Linked DNA regions of Anolis sagrei. The protein of the gene in region 2 interacts with the protein of the main gene of each other region in a pairwise test. Links are inferred from orthologs where the notes say so. Each region holds a gene or a part of one and is shown on either strand. Other genes may lie near its edges.

Region 1 (11,279 bases), on a different chromosome or scaffold from region 2:
TAGATTCTGTTGGCACTATTGCTGTGATGGGGAAGAATGTAAATAGTGTTTCAAGCAAATGGATCAATACGTTTTAGGAGTTTTGAGCAGGAACAAGCTGTAATCCTTCTTTTACGCTGTGGCACTAGCCTGGGTTTGATTCCTACTGGATACAACACAGAATAGAATCAGTGTGACCATCTCAGCCAAATGTGTTTACTAGTATTATGCAGTTCTAATATAAAACATTTCTGATTGCAGTCTCTAGCCATTTTGGGGTTCACCTTTAATCCCAATCTACATTAGAATGACTTGAATTTTATAGTATATATTTTATCTCTTTCCCTCTCTGAGTTTATTATGCTTGCCTTTCAATTGATCTCTTCTCAAAAAAAGAAAAGAAATATAAACAAAACGAATATAAGCGAGAAAAAGAACTGAAGTAAGTTGCATTATGTAGAAATGGAATCCACATGTGAGAACTCACTCACCATCTGAAGAAACCTTTTCTATAGAATAGTGGTTCACAAATTTGGGTACCTAGATGTTGTTGAACTTTAACTTTCAGAGCCTCTGATAATCGGTCCACAATCAGATATTTGTGGCACGTTGTAAGAGGAGGAGCCAGCTATGTGCAGTGGAGGTGTCCCATCCCCCTGGAGATATTCACGTTTCCTCTGATTTTGAGGGTTGGGGGATGGCGCCTAACCCTCTAAAGTCCAAAATTCAAAATTGGTGACATGAGTGGCTAAGATAGTGATACCTTGGTTTTTTGCTGGGTCAATGTACGCAAACTTTGTTTCCTGCATAATAATAATCAAAGTATTGTATAAAATAATCTTCAGTCTATATATTTATGAAGTATAAATGAATTTCATGTTGTACTTACGTCCCTTCTCCAGGTTCGTTCTCTCCCCGCCTCTCTCTCTATACACACACACAAATACAGATATTACAAAATACAGAAGTATCCAAAACAGTTTTACTCCCAAGTTTTTTAGAAACTCAATTGTAGGATTCCATCAAACATTTAATGTATTTTAAATTTGTCTTTTCCTTTTTTAGAGAGACCAGGAATTTCTGAAGTCTGTGTTCAACCTGGTGTACCACGATTCTGTCTTTCCTCTTCTCCAGTCTGTGATCCTTCCAGAATACAAATGGGCAGAAGAAGAGTCAGAAGGCACACGCTGGCGAATGATTGCTGATTTCCTGAAGAAAAACAGAGAAAGAGAGGGTGCCCTCTCCTCTCTGCTATCATCTGAAAGTCCTCACAAAGCTTTTGATATCATGGAAATAGCATATGATTTTGTAGGAGAGGCAAGGACAAATAATCCTTTGGTGTAAGTGAATCTTAAGGCCATGCATCTCTGCCAAATACTGTGTCAAAAATGTATCAATAACCATAATGACTAATGTGGCCAAAAAGGTAATATTTTTATAGTTTAGATTTGCTATTAAGATATGTTGGGTAACTATTTTTTAAAGAAAATATATAAAGTTTTATTTATTAACTTTGATCATTCTTGCTGTGTTTTTATGGGGTTGCTTCCTAGCAAAAGTTGTCAGAGAAGCAGATAACGTTCAGTGCCTCAGATCTTACATTGAGCAGACAGCAACTAATGTGTCCCTTATACAGTTCTATGCCTCTCCTCTGGCTCAGCCCAGGAAGGTGGTGGGAAGAGGAGGCAGCTCAGTTGATGAAGATGCAGCTGGTGTCATCTTGAAGGGCAGAAGAAACAAAAGAACACTGGGTTCCTTTTATTTGTTCTTCCCCTGGGAGCCTACAGCAGTTGCATCTTCATTATCTGTCCTCTCTTGAAATAGCAGCAGCTCACCTCGGGGTTTGACAGCTACTGGGAGAGAAGAGCTTTTAGACATTATGCAAAGACCTAGCAAAGAGCTTTGCACTCCTACCAGAAAGCGAGCGAGTGAGCATGCATGTAATAATAATAATAAAAATAATACTTTATTTCTAGACTGTCCTCTCTCCCCAAAAGGACTCAGGGCAGTTTACACACAAAACAAAGCAAACATCCAATTCCCAAACAAGTGCAGATACATCAAAGCAATGACATAATAAAAAATAATAACAACAGTGAACTAATTGCATGAAAAAATTAAACATCAAAAATGAAAAAAAGGATACAAATAAACACGTAAAACAAAGTACATTAAAAACATAATCAACGTTAAAACAGTTGTCACAGTAAAACAATTAAAATAGATAAACATTGGCTGTTCTGGTTGTTTTTTAAAATGTACCATTGTGGCCATGGGGCACAAGTAAGTCAGCCAGCATTCCAATGGCATTTGTCTAGAGCAGGGCCCCTCAAAGTTTTTAAACAGAGGGCCAGGTCACAGTCCCTCAAACTGTTGGAGGGCCGGATTATAATTTGAAAAAAACATGAATATATTCCTATGTACACTGCACATATCTTATTTGTAGTGCAAAAAACACTTAAAATAATACAATAATTAAAATGAAGAACAATCTTAACAAATATAAACTTATCCGTATTTCAATGGGAAGTGTGGGCCTGCTTTTGGCTGATGAGATAGGATTGTTGTCGAGTGCTTTCAAGTCATTTCAGACTTAGTTGACTCTGAGCGAGGGCCGGGTAAAGGACCTTGGAGGGCCGCATCCGGCCCCCGGACCTTAGTTTGGGGACCCTTGGTCTAAAGTATCCCAATCCTTCTCTTCTCCATATGCCAAAGTGAAGAGGTGTGTTTTCAAGACTTTTGAAAGAGAGGAGGGTGGGGTCTGTTTTTATTTATTTCGGGAAGGGGTTCCAGAGACAGGGAGCGATCACGGAGAAGGCCCCCTCTCTCGTTCCCACCAACCACGCTTGTGACGGGGTTGGAACCGAGAGCACTGTAAGCTATACAGTGTGCATATACATCACAAGATCCTGCTCAATAAACACTATCATCTACTACTATCTATATAAATAAAAATGTAATGTTCGTTTGTGGGATTAACATAACTCAAAAACTGCTGGACGAATTGACACCAAACTTGGACACAATACACCTATCAGGCCAACATATGAACATCACTTATAGAATTATTATTATTATTATTATTATTATTATTATTATTATTACTTTATTTGTACCCCGCTAGCATCTCCCGAAGGACTCGATGCGGCTTACACAGGCCAAGGCCTCAAACACAATACAACAATACAATACCTAGAGCAAATTAAAAGCAGATTAAGCAGAGTAAACAACAACAATAACAATACACAGACATCAAGACACTATAAAACTGGGCCAGGCCGGGGTAGTGGGTACAGGATTAAAAGTGCTGATGTGGCAGGAGGTATGTAGGATTATAAAATAGGTGCATTGTGCGATGTGCAGTGATCTTAATTCTATTAAAGTGCTTCTAGGATTTGGTATTGGGGGTTCCTAATCTGGAAAGGCACATCGGAACAGCCAGGTCTTCAAGTTCTTTCTGAAGACTGCCAATGAAGGGGCCTGTCTAAGAAACACTGATAAACACAGCAGAAGAGACTGAAAAAACCAAAAACAAAAATTACAATGCATGTGCAAAACCACAAACACACATATACACAAATATATATACACACAACAAAACACATACACAGACTGGGCCACAGCAACGCATGACGGGGCAGCTAGTTCCTTAATATATTACAAGACAAGTCGGAAGTGGCAGAAACTCTGACTTGGTCTGGTGAATTTCAAAAATCAAATATTTCAAGTCAATGTCATAGAATCATTAGGACACAGAGTTGTAAAAGACTAAAAAAAGCAACATTCAGGAATACAGCAATTATAGCACAGGTGGTCATCCAGCCTCTGTTTGAAAACATCCAAAGAGAGATTCCACCACATTCTGAGACAATATATTCCACTGTCCAATGGCCCTTCCACCAGAAAGTTCTTCCTAAAGTTAGGTGGAATCACTTTTCTGTAATTTGAGCCTTAATTCCTGAAGTTTGAATCAAATAATTCTGATTCATTTAATATACCACTTTTCCCCCAAGATGATGATCATATGCTAAAAAATAAACTTTAAAACATTCAAAGTTTTTAAAAAGTTAAACATGTCTCAGTAAATGCTGGTAATTATTAATAATTGTTGGAAATGAACATGTTTCTTCACGAGGGAGATACTTCTTTGAGGTTTGGATGTTATGTGTAGGAGTGCATACATATCTCCCACTATCCTTCTAATTATTCTGAGAATTACTGTCATGTGTCAACATTTACCATAACATCTGTAAGAGAAGTGTCAAATTGACCCAAAGCTTGTCATATTCAATCACATTCTGGTAATGACATCAGGGGATAGATATGATCAGAACCTCTCCTGGAGATCCTTGCATTAGACCACAGCCTATAATTTCAGGGCTGAATGTTTGACATGGTAGGGACAGATACAGAAATGAAAGATATCCCAATATTTTTTTTCTTTTTCATTATTCCGTTCCACCTTGTAAGCACAACAGTGCAGGTTTTAAAGTCTGAATTGTCAGATTGTTGCAGCACAGGCAGCCTCTGAATACTTCTCTCTGTCCATGGTTTTCCTGGCGTAATGCATCTCATTGAAGTGGAAGAGGCTTAAACATCCCAAGTGGCATAAAGATAGGAGTGGTCATTCCTAATGCAATTATTTTGAGATGTTTGCTTAGTGGGCCCAAAGCAGGAATCTAGCCATAGCACCTGAGCGGAGATGAAACTAGTTCAACAAGGCTAACCAGAAACCAGTCTCTCTGTTGGATGTGTTCCCAATCAATTTCCAGCAAGACAATAGAGGCCTTCAGAAAAGCACGTCAGTGTTGCCCTCAGAACATTTAGAAAATGTGCTGCTATGTTAATATAAGACTTCAATCCCATCAGATATATAGATCTCACTCCCACAAGGTTAAGCAGCTAATTGTGCATGTTGTTTCTTCTCCCTGCAGCAGGATGTGCAGATTGAGCAGACAGGATTACTGACCTTAAGGCTATAGGTTTACATTTCATTTCCTACATACATCAGTCTAGGAAAAATGACACGTTCAGTTGGGTAAATACGTTTGGGAACCAACTCTCTCATGAATTAAAACAGAACGTATTTGTATTTGTATTTTGGTCTGATATTTAGATATGAACACAAATAGCAAAACTGCCACTTGTCTAGGTTTTCCATCTTCCTGTGAAGATACAGGAAGACACATTTTAATTTATGTAATGTTTAAGCTGTGTACATTGCCTCAAGGAAGAATGGCAACAATCCCATAAGACAAAAAAGTTTGGTAATTAAACAAAGATCAGAAAAATAAAACTTGAGATTTGGAAATATAATCAGCCCTCTACATTAGACATCCAAGACCCTTGTGAAAGTGGAAAAACAGCAAAAAAGCACTATTTTTTTGATAAAATACCTGTCTAGGTCTTCCATTGTTACTTCTGTTGGAAGTTGATCTAGAGGACTTTAGAGATTCCTAGAGGTAACATATTAATCAAATCTGTGAATAATCAAATCACAAGTCAAACCCACAAATGTGGAGGGCTGGCTATACATGTGCATTTATTTGTTTCTGGCTATGGACTTATTTTGATATTTTTCAGAGGTCTTTCTTGCTCTATGTTTGCTTTAGGTACAAAGGGAGCAGTCTTACATTCCACCAGCTGGGAGGAATGTAAACAATAGATGTCCATGCCCCTATTAAGCATGTTATTTCTCTATTTGATTACACCTTCTTCCTCCTGGCACACGATTGTTTTTGGAAACAGGTCTGTTCTCAAAACCAGTACATATCAGTTACGTGTTAATTTCTGCTCTGTAGCACAGAAAGTGTGTGCGTAGCAGCCAAAGACAGGTTGAATGTTTTCTTTAGGACGTATAATTAAATAGGACCAAAGACAATGTGTAGCCAGTTGCCGCAACCATATCATTCTTTCCCTCCAACCAAATGTCATGTTGACTCCAAAAGAAAAGCAATATAATAAAAAGAATAAAACTTAATTTATATCCCACTCCATCTCCCTGAGGGGACTTGGAGTGGTTTACAACAATGTGAATAATACAATGAAAACAAGTCACCCAATGTGATTTAGTAATGTTTCTGTTTTCCTTTCCCTAGCCTTCATCCAGCTATATCAACTCCCTCTTTACAGCACCTGTCTATATATTTATGCCAGCAATGGGGTGAAAAATGAGGCTGACTTGTAGAGAAACTCCTATGCACCCCTTTTCTAGCCAGTGGATGACTATATCCTCTCTCACCAGCTGGTCCTTTTTATTGGCTGGAGTGATCAAATAACAATATAAGAAATGCCATGATAGATCAGTCCAAGACCATTCTTGTCCAACATCTGACAGAAGCCAAGTAGTTGTCCAGGGGAGATCTTTTTCCAACCTCAGTTGTGAAAAAATCAGATGCCAACATGTTTTCATTTGAATTCAAAACTGTTTTTGAGTTTGTTGTCTTTCAAAATATATGTTTTCTAAAGTTTCAAACTTTCAGAATAAATAGTAGTTAACTTGTAAAGATTTTCCTCATTGGACACAATGGATAGAAACTGAATGAGTTGACGAAACCATTCAAGAGTTCTTTTAGGAAGCCCTCAAGTAATATTACAGCTGGAGTTTTATGTGTGTGTGCATAGCCCCTCCTCCTTCCTTCTTTTTTTAGTTTTCTTTTTATAAAGGATTTGATCTCTGTTTTCTGACGGACTTTATTAGCCTTTGCATAGTTGATGATTTTTCTGTGATGACTTGAACAGCTACCTGCCAAGTTGGAACTGGTTTCACCCTTGACGTCCACCTGGGTGTGTCAGTGGATACTATTTTAAGCTTCAGAAGCCAATGGTAGTATCACACAGATAACCCAGAGTAGCAGACTGTAAGTGCCAGAACACTTTTGATTGTAAAGAAATGGATACCAAAACCTCAGGACCAGCTTCTGTCTCCCCGGTACCTGACAATATTCCGTCTGGACTAGCTGTTTTCAGAACAATACCATATGCCTTCATCTTACCAGAGCTGGTAAGTCAACAGAGTTTTAGAGCAGTTATTTAAAAAGACTAATCTATGTTCTGTTTAACAAAAAAGACTTATCTATATTATGTTTAACAAAGACTTCATACAGTGACAAACCTGTATTTGCCATAGCATAGATAGGATGGTGAGTAACGGCTTCGGGTATTTGTATGATAAACACAGGTTTCGTGTATGTTAGTTCTATTGATAATCTCAGATTCAAACTTGAATAAGGAAATTCTCTCATATAAATGTACAATCACATATGTAATTTATTAGACCAGGAAGTGTGTGTGCAGATTTAATTTATTTCAGAATGCTTCTCTGATTACTGAGTTTGAATAACAACAACAACAACAACAACTTTATTTTTGTATTGTCGAAGGCTTTCATGGTTGGAATCACTAGGTTCTTGTGGGTTTTTTCGGGCTATATGGCCATGTTCTAGAGGCATTTCTCCTGACATTTCGCCTGCATCTATGGCAAGCATCCTCAGAGGATGCTTGCCATAGATGCAGGCGAAACGTCAGGAGAAATGCCTCTAGAACATGGCCATATAGCCCGAAAAAACCCACAAGAACCTAACTTTATTTTTGTACCCTGTGTCCATCTCCCAGAAGGGACTTGGGGTGGCTTACATAGCCTGATCAACACAGTTAAAATAACACATTAAAATTCATTAAACAGCAAAATAACACATTAAAATTCATTAAACAGCAATATAAAGGAAAATAAAACAAAAACAAGCAAACAAGAGCATAACACAATATAAAAACAACCGCCACAAACAACCAGTAGTCTGAAATGGCAAAACAGTTGTAAGCTTCGGTGGGGGGAAAGGGACACAAATAGCTGTGAAGAAAGGGCTGATAGATAAAGTGCAAGTACCAATTGACACGATTGGGGATAAAGCGCAATATGAGATGGAACACTATATCTTTGGGCAGGGAAGAATAGTCAAGTGTAGGAGCTGAATTTTGGGTTATAGCTGGAGGTCAAAATTTTCTGGGGAACCGACTAATCAAAAGCACAGTGGAACATCCATGTTTTTAGATCTTTGCGACAGATGGACAAGGTGGGTACCAGCCTAATCTCCCTGGGGAGAGAATTCCCAGAGCCAGGGGGCCAACTCCAAGAAGGCCCCCTCCCTCGTCCCCACCATCTGCACTTGAGACAGAAGGGGAGCGAGAGGAGAGCCTCCCCAGAGGATCTTAGGGATTGTGCAGGTTTGTATGGGAAGATGCGATCACCAAGTTACCCAGGTCCCAAACCATTTAGGGCTTTATAGGTGATAATCTGCACCTTGAATTAAGACCGGAAACTTATCAGAAGCTAGTGGAGCTGTTTAAACAGTGGGGTTGACTGGATCCTGTAATTTGCTCCCATTAACAACCTGACTGCTGACCTTTGCACTAATTGCAGTTTCCGGGCTGTCTTCAAAGGCAGCCTCACATAGAGTGCATTACTGTAATCTAAACTGGACATAACTAAGTCAGACTTCTCAATGTACGGTTGCAGCTGGCGCACAAGCTTTAATTGCGCAAAGGCCCTCCCAGCCACCGACAACACCTGAGCATCAAGCGTAAATGCTGAGACTATAAGAACCCCCAGACTGCGGACCTGTGTCTTCAGGGGGAGTCTAACCTCATCAAGCACACGTTGCCACCCTATGCTCCAATCCATCAAACTACTGACCTGGAGGACCTCTGTCTTGTCCAGTATTAAGCTTCAGCTTGGAAAATTTGGGAACATCTGTTCAGGTTTAACACACATCCCACTGCAATCTGTGAGATTCATCTGAGTGCAATATATATCTTTTTAATGAGACATATTTGAAAAGGGAGGAAAACCAAAAGAAGGAAAATCAAGGGAAATAAAATTATAAGAGTTGGACTAGATCACATGGTCATCTAGTCTAACCACCTTCTGTTCAGGAATACATAATCAAAGCACTCTGACAGATGGCCACCCAGTCTCTGATCAAGAACCTCCAAAGCAGGAAGCTCCACCAAACTCTGAAGCAACGTATTCCACTGTCGAACATCTCTTGCCACCAGGAAGTTCTTCCTTATAGATGAAATCTCTTTTCCTTTGGTTTGAATCTATTGTCTCTGGAAGAAAGCAAGGAAACAACTCCTTGAAAAGTACACTGCTGATACAAAGACTGATTGCATCAAAAAAAATGTAGTAGTCCAGTAAGGGACAATTTGAATTAGTGCTTTTAGATCAGCCTTTCTCAATTTGACTCCATACCAGCTGTGCATGAAGGAAGCTCTAGCAAATGCATATGGATGGCACCAGGTTGGAGAAAAGTGATTTTAAAGTATATGATAGCTGTTGCGTGTGCTTTCTTTCTAACAGGAAAGAAGTCTCTGTGTGTATTAATATTGTTGCGTGTGCTTTTTCTCTAGCAGGAGAGGTCTCTGTGTGCATTAATAAGGAATCTAGATTTGATACTATATGGTTGCAAGGCCCCTGCATAGTGAGTAGTTCCAGGGGTCTTTTTGGTAGAGAGTACATTGAACATTCAAACTGCCTCATACTCAGATTATTGATTTATTTATTCTAGTACTGCACCCTCTGATGGATAGCTGTTTAAAGTCTTATACAGATCTTTGCTTGCCATTGGTGTCAGATATTTTTAACTAGAGAGGCTGGGATCTGAACTCGAGACCTCACAACCTCTGAGGATGCTTGCCATAGATGCAGGTGAAACGTCAGGAGAGAATGCTTCTAGAACATGGCCCTAGAGCCCGAAAGACCTACAATAACCCAATGAACCTGAGTTGTCTTGGTGCAAACCATGTACCTTGCCACGGAACTACTGTTCTTTATGTTTATGATCCTTCCTTCCTTCCTTCCTTCCTTCCTTCCTTCCTTCCTTCCTTCCTTCCTTCCTTCTCCACCCTCCACCCAACTAGGTCAGCTTACATTAATGTTCAATAAATATAAGAGCAAAATGTTACAATAGAAAAACAGCTTTCAAACTGCAGCTAATACATTTCTAACAGTAAAACTTGGCAGATGGATCCAGAAAGTGGTAATCCAAAAGAAGTTTTCCAAGTTTTGCAGCCGCAGAGAAGAATTTGGGCAACTGTCAATTTATTTATTTATTTATTTGCTATATTTATACTGCCCTTCTCAGCCCGTAGGCGACTCAGGACGGTTTACAGTCAAGTGCAGACACTTCAATTCCCAGTCAAGTGTAGTCTTGATCTATCTTCCTTCCAGACACTATCTTTATCCTTGTGTAACTTTTAAGTCTTCCCATATATCTAGTTTCTGCAGAGATATCCAGAAATCAGGGGAACATCTCCTAGTTTCTAATCCCTATCAATGAAATGTTAGTTGACCATCCTGGTTTATTCAAACAGCAATCTGTTTAAGAAGTAAAAAGGTAAAGGTAAAGGTTTTCCTCTACATTAAGTCCAGTTGTGTCCAACTCTGGGGGTTGGTGCTCATCTCCATTTTTAAGCTGAAGAGCCGGTGTTGTTCGCAGACACCTCCAAGGTCATGTGGCTAGCATGACTGCATGGAGCGCCGTTACCTTCCCGCCAATGCAGTACCTATTGCAAGTTTTCAAACTGCTAGGTTGACAGTAGCTGGGGTTGACAGCGGAAGCTCACGCCGCTCCCCGGATTTGCACCTGCGACCTTTCGGTCAGCAAGTTTAGCAGCTTAGTGGTTTAACCCACTGTGCCACCAGGGCCTCCTCTGTTTAAGAAAGACATGGCCAAACAGCCATTACTAATAATGCATTACAGCATTCAATCCAGCCCATCTGGATTGGAGAACCACTCTTTTCCCATCCCTAATTATTTATCTCCTGGAGGCTGATTGCTTCAGGGATATAATAACATGCTCAGCTCATGAGTTTTTCTTTGAAGGTCTGGCCAATTACCCAGTTAAACCTGGAGATAATGATTGGATAGATTTCACTGTTGACTGTGGCAAGACTGCATGTGGTACCCGGGGATTTAACCAAGAAAGAAAGCAGAGTTGACTAATGCAGGCCAGAGAAGGAGGAAAGTAAGAGTAGCTGCAAATTAGGAGATAGACTTCTACTAATATACATATAAAATGCATCTGCAGTGAAGAGAAGACTGAGTTTATTTGGAACTCAATCCCATTAATTCCAATAGATTTTCCTTCCAAATTCAACATGTTCTTGGTTTGTCCCAGAAAGAAAACAGTGCCCATCCTGGTGAAATCAGAACAAATGCTGTAGTGAGGGAATTGCAGTGAAGAATAAGCATTACAGAAGTACTTAGCCAATTTAAATGGATTAATTTCTCCAGGGCCAA
Region 2 (10,485 bases):
AAAAATCCACTTAAAATCTGGTTTCTGCCTCCTGCAGAATTCTGGGGTTTGTAGTTTAGGGAGGAGCCTTTAACAGCTTCACTAAACTACAAACTCCAGAATTCTGCAGGAGGCAGAAACCGGGTTTAAAGTGGATTTTTTCTCTAGTGTGATGAAGTGGTTAGGCTTGCATACTCCTTCCCCCTTTCATCATTTGCTCACCAGTGGTGGAAGTAAAAAGCTCATGTTTTCCATTTTAAATTAATCACCATACCCTTTATTAATAAACTGTGGCCAGTGAAAAGAAACTTGTTTATATCAACCCTCTTTGAAACAAATCCAGTACCCTGAGACCTGTTACAGAAATATGGTAATTTTCAATATCTCCCTTTGATTTTTAAAAGGAAATTGGAAAGTAGATAAGCCCAAAGTTTGCTGCAGTTCGTTGGAGTAATAATAATCCAGGATTTTCCACTATGAAAGGACCAAGCCGCTATTTATGCTGATTGTTCCTGGCTTATGACTTTAAAGGGCTTAATTACAATAAACAACAAAGATGAGATTTGCAATTAAATGTATTTATTCTCTGACAACAATTCTAAATTACTAATTGGCAAAAGGAGCTTTCAAGTTCCTTTATTTGTTTTTGATGTAATTCTATACATTAAAATATATTGCATTGGATATTTGTTGAGTCTTATTCATAAGGACTTCTGAAATGTTTGATAGCTACCTATTAACAGGGTTGCTGTGAGTTTTCCAGGCTGTATGGCCATGTTCCAGAAGCATTCTCTCCTGACGTTTTGCCCACATCTATGGCAGGCATCTTCAGCTGGACCACTCTAACAACTACCATGTCAGACTACACAGGGAAGCCACTGAAATCCACAAGCATGTGGACAATTTCACAAGAAAGGATTAAACCATGAAAATGAACCAAATTTGGCTACTGGTATTTAAAAAGCTGTAAAATCAGAACAGTAAAGAAAGAACACTTAAAAACAGAGGAATTCCAGACAAGAAACAATCAAAGCCAGCTAATCACCTCCCAACAAAGGATTCCCCAGGCAAGAAGCAGCCAAGCCTTGAAGCTGCAAAGCTTTTCAGTGCTAATCAAGGTGATCAATTGCAGCATTCACACTTGCCTAACAGACAAGAGTTCTTTCTCCCTCCCTGGACATTCCAGAGATATATAAACCCCACTTGCTTTGCTTCCAACAAACCTCACAACCTCTAAGTATGGCTGCCATCGATGTGGGCAAAACGTTAGGAGAGAATGCTTCTGGAACATGGCCATACAGTCCAGAAAACTCACAGCAACTCAGTTATTCCAACCATGAAAGCCTTTGACAATATAAACTTACTAACAGCTTAAAAATATATGGGGAAGGCTAAATACCTTTAGTCTGTTGAACCTTACCATGTTTTAAGTTACAGAACATATAAAAACAACTATTCTGTAGTGAAAGAGCAACCCAATAAAATCTGAATAACGTACTGCTGTCTCTAAATATCACTATATATTGTACATATGAATAAACGATCACAATAAAGTATATGATTCTGGAAACAGTAATAAAACTGGTGTTTTTAATCTAAAACAGCAGTCATCCAGTATGTCCTTTTATGATGGGGCAAACAGCAGTCATCCAATATGTCCATCTTTTATGATGGGGCAAAGAAAAGGGTGGTCTGGGAAGGGTAAAGGAACTGATGTCCACAGCCTGTTATGTTTTTCTTCTAGGAAGAGATTGGCACTTCATTTCAATAGTAGGGTTGTCTCCCAGTCCTGCAACTTTAAAGGTTAAGACCGCTAACACTACAATATACAACAAAAAAAACAAATGCTGCTTCAAAGTAATTTTACTATGCATTGCTTACTTCAACTATTGTTGCTTCATGTTCTTTCCGGTTTCTGAATATAATGTTCATGACAGATTCGTTTGTGAAAAACGCTGAATTAAGCATTGCAAAGTTTAAATAAGCTAGAATTCATACTTCAGTCTAAAGACACATTGCTGCTATTTTGGGGACCAATATTACTGAACTCTACCTCTGACATTCATATTAAATAGCAAATCATAGATGACAGAACCATTTTTAGGGCTTTACATACTCTTATTTAGTAGAAGACAGAAGTGTTGTCCGTTACCAATTCTTGAAATGTGCCATCATGCCTAATTTTATTTTTGGTTGCTCTTATATGCAAGTCAGTACTTTATCTGGCTCTTGATACCGATCAGAGAGGTGTGACCACCATAGCATGTTAATCATCATGTTTCCTGTAACCACATGTGAACCCATTTCCATCTCCAAAATCTTTTTCACATATTGATATCATCAGGATCACATTTGGATCTGCTCATACTAAGTAAAGTTCTACTGTGTAAAATGGCAGTTGATGTGATGAAGAATAACAAAACCGCATTCCTCAAATGCTGCATCAAGAAGAAAACGTACTATTTAATGTTTGCTTCAGTTGAGGTGTTCATGTGATGAGAGTTTATCCAAAAGACATGATTTTGAGTACTTCAAAACTTCAGAACCAACAAGATGCCACAAATTCAACCTGAGATGATTTAATAGTTTTAAATTTGCTAAATTTAGTATACAGCAAGGTTCCTATTTGTTTTACCTTGTCCCCATTAACATGAAACTTACTAGCTGGCCTTATTTTTGGCATTTTTGAGTGGGATAGGATTGTTAAATGAAATCTCAATTGCAAAATAAACATGTTGAGGTGTTTTTCTGAAAGCCCTCATAGGTCTGATGTGTCATTTTATATCACCTATCACACCTGAAGTTGCCTCCCTGCAAGTGTCTTACACAGCAGTCTGAAGGATTTACTAGTTTCTAAATTGTTGTGTTGTGCTGTTTTTCAAATGCTTCCGTCAGTTCCCTAGCATCCTCAATGCTGGGGAACTGAAGGGAGCTGCACTAAAAGATCCAATGTTTTACACCAGGATTGGTAATACTCTTGCTCTGCAAATGTTATTTAAAAGCACATTCCATCAGTGTCAACGTAATCAATAGTGAAGAATTCTAGCAGTTGCAATCAAGAAACAGATCGATGCTTTAGGAGTTTGGGAAGATCACAAAAGTATAAAATACTTAGTCATTTCTTAATTCATAGTAAACAGCTTTTGGTTAATCAGATTAGGAAGGTGGTTTGAGAAGTTGGATCCTTTCCACACTTTCATTTTTGAAAATTGCAGTGGTTTTGGGTGTTTAAATGAAAAAAAAAGCCATGAATGAACACTGAATCATTATACGATTAAATATCAGTCAACATATATGAACAGAAGCTTTGCAGACTAATTTAATTTAAAGGGTCTTTGTGGTATCAGTTAAAATGGAACCTTATCTAAATATGGCTATACAAAAAGTATACAAAAGGCTGGTTGCTATACCAAAAGAATTAATTTAAAGTTAAAAACAGTAACTGACAATCTTAAGGATCAGAAACAACTTTGGGTTTCTGTGAGTTTTCTGGGCTGTATGGCCATGTTCCAGAAGCATTCTCTCCTGACGTTTCACCGACATCTATGACAGGCATCCTCAGAGTTGTGAAGTCTATTGGAAACTAGGCAAGTGAAATTTATATATCTGTGGAATGTCCAGGGTGGGAGAAAAAACTCTTGTCTGTTTGAGGCAAGTGCGAATGTTGCAGTTAGCCACCTTGATAGGCATTTAATGGCCTTGTAGGAAACAACATTATTTTCCCATCTACCATATCTGTAAAGATGCTGATGTGTTGCTTTGGAAAATCAGTGGCTACTAATCCAAATGGTTGTATTATCACTCCCAGTATCAGTAGCAAAATACCTCTTTGCATCACTTGTTGGAGAACAGGTTGCAGGTGAACTAACATGCTCCTTCAAAGCTTACTGGTTGGGAATGGTGTGACCAGAATGCTGGGTTAGATTGCCTTTCTGTCTGACCCATCACAACTCTTTTAAGTTCTTAAGTTAGTTAATAAGTTCAGTTCCAGAAGGGTCTGAAGTATTAGCACAAAGTCTTTTATAATTTCTGGCAAAGCTGCAGGTAGGCAGATCGTGCTATTTGTTTTTGTTATCACTTTTCCTAGGCATGGCTGAGTTTAACATGACCCTTTTGTTCTTACATCTGTTTCTCTTAGTAGCCAGGTAACACTACCCCAAGAATGTATCTGTGGTTTGGTCTTATAAAACAAAACAGCTTGTAAAAGTTAGTTCCTCTTCCTGTACTAGCAGCATGATAGTTTGAACAGAGATGAACACCCAGTCAGATTAATTCCTACCTGTGAGTTAATATAACTTCTGAAGTAATTCATTGGGGAAAGATGACCAGAACTTACCCTCAGGTATTATTACACACTCTTGAAAAAGATATTTGTAATTATTACTTTGAACATCAGACAAACACACAATTTTACTGCTTTTTTCTGTAATTTTTAACTAATGGATTGAATTAAAATTAAAATTTTAATTTCTGTGTGGTATTTGCATGTTGCTGAAAATATTCAGATAGGATGCATTTAAGTCAGCCAAGTTTATCAACCAAATATATTTGATTTAAAAGGCCAATGGATGCAATTACTTCTTAGTGTCTCAAAGGCTCCCCTTTTCAATAAGGTATGTATCTATTATTATTTTTAATTTCAGAATTTTGATGGAAGCTTCCTTGGTTCAGAAAAATCTCTCTCTACAACTAAAAGAGGTAATTGGGAGAAATCTCATCTTTTAAAGGAGTCTATTTCATTTCTCTCCGTGCATCTGCTGTCTTTTACTGTACACACATTTTCTTATTAAATACAGACACTTTTATAGTCCCCAAACCAAGTTAAATATAAATATTTACAGGAAATGGGCTTTGTGTTTCGGGGTAATGACAACATGTTATATGCTTCATAAAAGGATGTCAATTGTAATTATTCTCAAACAACTAAAGACAGGAAAGTGATGGGAGGCAGGTGGTTACAGAATTCGAGATTATCTGATTCTCAGTTTGGCATTTTGTATATTTGAAAGGGACCAGCACTGTAAAGTATGGGATGCATGCCATGGTCCTCAGGTTCTGTCTTTGGCACCTGCACTTAAAAACAGTTTTCAAGAGACAGATTTTCAAAAAGATCAATTCTAGACATTTTGTTGAGTAACTGCCAGAGCAGGAAATAGATGGTTAAATAGTTTAGTTGCACATTGACATTTAAATGATTAAAGATAGCTTTACTGGAGTCAACTCATGACAAATTGTAATGTTATCATCTGATGAGATTTGTAAAATATCAGCTGTTCTCTATGAACATGTCAATATTAAACTTTTTTTACCAAATTGATTTTACGTATTTTTTGATGTTGGAAAAAATTAAACTAAGGGCAACTTCAGATGACAGTATTACAGCACTATTATTCCACTTAACACCCCCCCCCCCCCCCAATGATTTTAAATACTCCTGGGATTTACAGTTTACATATAATTCTCAGCCAGAAAACTAAGTACACATCTCCATTTGGTGGTTAGGTACTACTGTGCTCTTGCTGATAATAATTCATAATTAAAGGTAAAGGTTTCACCTGACCTTAAGTCTAGTCGCGTCCAATTCTGGGGAGTGGTGCTCATCCCCATTTCTAAGCCAAAGAGCCGGTGTTGACAGTAGATGCCTCCAAAGTCATGTGGCCAGCATGACTGCATGGAGCACCATTATCTTCCCGCCGAAGCAGTACCTATTGATCTACTCATATTTGCATGTTTTCAAACTGCTAGTTCAACAGAAGCTGGGCCTAACAGTGGGAGCTCACCCCATTCCCCGGATTCGAACCGCCAACCTTGTGATTAGCAAGTTCAGCAGTTTAACTCACTGCACCACTGGGGCAGTGGTTAATTTGTACCAGTCCCTAAACTGCAAATCCCAGTTATAGCAGTTAAAATGGAATCATAGTGCTTTAATGATTTTATGCATAGATCCCCAGCCTTTATTCATCCAGATGTTGGGGGAGGGTCAATGCCCAGAAGCCTCAGCCTGCTTGGCCAGTTGTTAAGATTTCTGTGAGCTAAATTCCAGAACATCTAGACGACACCATTGGTACGGTGCGAAAGACCTAGATATATCTGAAACTCCCCCCCCCCCCAAACATTTATGTATTTATTTACGACATTTATATCTTGCCCTTCTCACCCCAAAGGAGATTCAGGGTGGCTTACAAGAGAGGCACAAATTGATGCCTTAAGTACATATAAAAATAAAACAACATATACATTAAAATCACATGATTAAAACATATAAATTAAAAACAATTACTTAAAATCACATTAGTAATGGGTTGATAAGTGTGGCAAAAGCAGAAAACTTTGGGCATAAATAATTGGTATGGTTGTATGGAATAACTTTGAGAATTAGTAACAACCAAAGTGGCTTTTTTTTCTATTGAGGTTTAGTCAATGGTTGGTAAAAGCTGGTTTCTGCTTGCAGATTTTGTAGTAAAATATTGCATTTTATTTGCTCTTTAATGCCTCTCTCCATGGCAGGTACCATACGTGACCAGCGAGATTGCTGCAAGGAGTCTTGTCAATGCGTCCCTTGCACTCGGAGATGCGTCTGTGCATCTGCCATTGGTTTTATTATACTTGCCGTTATCATTGCTGCCATTGCATTAATTGTCACAGTTGGTATCCCCCCACGTACAGCAGGTCAGTCACTATTATGTTGACTGTATTATTTCCCACTAGAGTCATTGATATGATGCCTTGAATGTGTCACAATTATTTCAATATGTTAAAGGTTGAGCTTGTTGAAGTAAGTAGTGTGTGGACACAATGAGAAGCTGAAGCCTAAATCCAAGGTTGCAGTAACAATATAGCTGAATATACCGTACTTCCTCTTAACTCCTTCCTGGAGCTCTGGGCATTTCATGAAAATCTGGTTTTCTGGATCTCCAAGACTTGTTTATCAGGGGAACTAGCAAAACCAGTTCCTGGAATTACAATGGTTAACCAGAGGGTAACTATAACATGATGCTCATCATTTTGCCATCATGTCCAGTTTTGCTCTCAGGAAAATTTCTGAAACTTGAGTAATTACAAGCCCTCTCCTGTTGCATACTTAAAGGGAAAGCTGTCTGTGGACTGATATTGTGGGTACCCACAGAGGACATAAGGGGTTCATGTTTGTCTTGACATGGCTATATTTTGATACCAAATCACCTGAAAATAGATCCCAGAAATGACCAGAAGTTCACTTCTGATTGTTAGTTTCAGATTTTCTGCTCACCTGTGGGATTGTTTTGGAAAGGTAGGGCTGGAAAGCTATGTACTGAGCAAGCACCAGTCCAAATAGCACTTGGGAGGACATTTCATATTTTTTGATGACTTTGGGAAGGTTTAGCGTTTCTTAACCTGGGGGTCGGGACCCCTGGGGGGTTTGCGAGGGAGGTATCAGAGCAGTCGCCAAAGACCATAAAAATGCAGTATTTTCTGATGGTCATAGGAGTTCTGTGTGGGAAGTTTGGCCCTATTGGTGGGGTTCAGAATGCTCTTTGATTGTAGATGAACTATACATCCCAGCAACTGCAACTCCCAAATGTCTATTTTCCCCAAACTCCAATAGTGTTCACATTTGTGCATGTTGATTATTCGTGCCAAATTTGGTCCATATCCATCATTGTTTGAGTCCACAGTGCTCTCTGGATGTTGGTGAACTACAACTCCAAAACTCAAGGTCAATGCCCACCAAACCCTTCCAGTATTTTCTGTTGGTCATGGGAGTTCTCTGTGCCAAGATTGGTTCAGTTCCATCATTAGTGGTGTTCAGAATGCTCTCTGATTGTATGTGAATTATAAATCCCAGCAACTACAACTCCCAAATGAGCAAATCAATCCCAAATCCCAACCCCACGAGTATTCAAATTTGGGCATATTGGATATTTGTGCCAAATTTCATCCTGTGAATGAAAATACGTCCTGCATATCAGATATTTACATTACAATTCACAACAGTAGCAAAACCGCAGTCATGAAGTAGCAATGAAAATAATTTTATGGTTTGGGGTCACCACAACATGAGGAACTGTATTAAGGGGCCGCAGCATTAGGAAGGTTGAGAACCACTGGTAAAAAGTAAAAAGTAAAAAAAAAGAAGTAAAAAGTAGAAAGTGAAGAGCATCCAGTGAACTCAAATGACTTTTTTAAAATGCATACACAGAAAACTACACAAATATCAAGAGGATAACACAATATTGAATTATTGTAAATTTTTTAGAGTCTATAAATACCCACTTCACATCAAAACTACAAAAACTTCTGTGCCAGGAATTCCAAAACCATTTACTAACAGAATTCATTGTAATTTGAATGAAAGCTGAAGGGTTTTAAAAATATCTATCTTGTAAGGAAATGGTAGAAAGAATAGAGATAGCATTCAAGTGCACAAGGATATATCTAAACTGAAGAGAAAAGGACTTTCTCTCTAAAAGATAAGGGTGGTTATTGTAAAAGTTTCCCCTGCCACATATATCCTTTCTATGCTCACAAAGCCAAATGCCTAAATCGCTCACAGAACATACTTCTATGATTGATAGATCAACTCTTGAAGTTATACAGGGTTAGTCAAAATGCATAGGCCAATAAGCCATTCAATTGAATGGCTTATTGGCCTATGCATTTTGACTAACCCTGTATTTCAAATTTAGACTGTCTGAACCACCGCATCAAACAATCTATCATAACTAAGATAGCTTACAATGGGCTTCTATATTTCATTTAATGGTTGTTAATAGTCTCCTTTGATATGCTGCCAGTTTGACTGATTTCTCTAAATCTCAGAGCATTCGAAGCCATTTCCTTTCATTTGGTTCTGACCAGAAAGTATATCATCTCGCAGAATTAATCATGCAGGTGCCAAAATGAACCATTCCCACATATAGCCTTTCTTAAAACATAGTCAAAATATTTTGTACAGCTGTGTATTACACTTCTTCACAGTATACACTCAAATGGTTTCTCTTACTCTTATGTGGATGTTGGATAATGACTCTGGAGACCAAGGTTTGGATCTCTGTTCAGCTATGGAAGCCCATTGGATGACCTTGGAGAAGTCACACTCTCTCAACCTCAGTGGAAGGCAATGTAAAACCTCTTCTGGACAAATATTGCCAAGAAACCAGGTGATAGGTTCGTCTTAGGGTCGCCATAGGTCAGAAATGACTTGAAGTCACATAACAACAACACACTTCTAAGGGTTAGGGCCCACACTGTCCCTATGTGGAACTTAAATGACCTGAGTAAAAGGTAAAGATTTCCCCTGACATTAAGTCTAGTCATGTCTGACTCTGGGGGGTGGTGCTCATCTCCATTTCTAAGCTGAAGAGCTGGCATTGTTCGTAGTCCCCTCCATGGTCATGTGGCCAGCATGACTACATGGCGCATTGTTACCTTCCTGCAGAAGCAGTACCTACTGATCTACTCACATTTGCATGTTTTTGAGCTGGGTTGGCAGAAGCTGGGCCTAATAGCAGGAGCTCACCCCTCTCCCTGGATTCAAACTGCCAGCCTTTTGGTCAGCAAGTTCACCAGCTCAGTGGTTTAACCTGCTGCAACACAAGGGGGCCCTAATGATAACTAAGCTTGAAGATCAGTCGTGAGTCTGCAATTAGACGTTTTAATATACAGTAAAATGATTACAGAAGTGTACTTGATCTGATCAGTATCAGTATTTATAATTTATTATATTGTTTTTATTTTTCAGTGAATCGTTTATGTGTGACTACCAGTAACCAGACAGGCTTTTTATGTGACAACCGAGAGACCTGTATACCAGCCAGCCAAGTCTGTGACACAAGAAGACATTGTGCAAATGGGGAGGATGAGCAAGAGACACTATGTAGTAAGTGTAACAAAAACCTGGTTTTCAAGAGTTGTCTTTGCTTCATCGATTTCATTATTTCAAATAACTTTTTATCCTTTGGAATGTTTAGGCTTTCTTTCCAACATCTATATCTTTGTGAGGCTGCCTGTTAATATCATCAGAAAAATGTTTGGACATTAGGGGATAATCATAAGACTTTCATGCACATCCCTGCTAAAATGATGTATTTTGTTGTATTTATTTTGGTAGGTGACTTACCCAACAACCTTCCAGGTTACTTAATATTTCATTGCAGCAATCCCCGATTTTGGATACCTGCAGACAAACGATGCAATGGGATCAATGATTGTGGAGACTGCTCTGATGAAGTAGGGACCTGTAAGTCTGTTCATCATAAAACTATATATCACTGACAGATGCTTATGATTTATGATAGGGTGAAAGGCTCTGAGTCCTGGTCTCCAGGGCAGCAGAAAAAAGCCTGCTCCCTCTTGCTTATGATATCCTTTCAAATATTTATACATGGCTATCATGTTTCCTCACAACCTACTTTTCTGCAGGCTAAACATACCCAAGTCTTTAAGATGCTTCTCATAGGTATTCGTGGTCTCCAGACCTTTGATCATTTTAGTTGCCCTCTGGACACCTTCCAGCTGGTCAATATC

Evidence for each region.
Region 1: the proteins of LDLRAD1 (region 2) and MAL-like protein interact in binary tests that used the Homo sapiens proteins (3 or more experiments, as listed by UniProt). The two-hybrid records come from large-scale screens. The link is inferred for Anolis sagrei from reciprocal best matches to the Homo sapiens genes LDLRAD1 and MALL.

The regions. Positions count from the first base shown.
Region 1 is NC_090021.1:23,449,288-23,460,566, reverse strand, and holds the start of MAL-like protein, read left to right. Parts: upstream 1-6,667; 5' UTR 6,668-6,871; coding exon 6,872-6,982; intron 6,983-11,279. Other genes in the region: NPHP1 (nephrocystin-1), read left to right, coding at 1,045-1,323.
Region 2 is NC_090024.1:172,563,651-172,574,135, forward strand, and holds the start of LDLRAD1 (low-density lipoprotein receptor class A domain-containing protein 1), read left to right. Parts: upstream 1-6,479; coding exon 6,480-6,648; intron 6,649-9,700; coding exon 9,701-9,838; intron 9,839-10,069; coding exon 10,070-10,198; intron 10,199-10,485.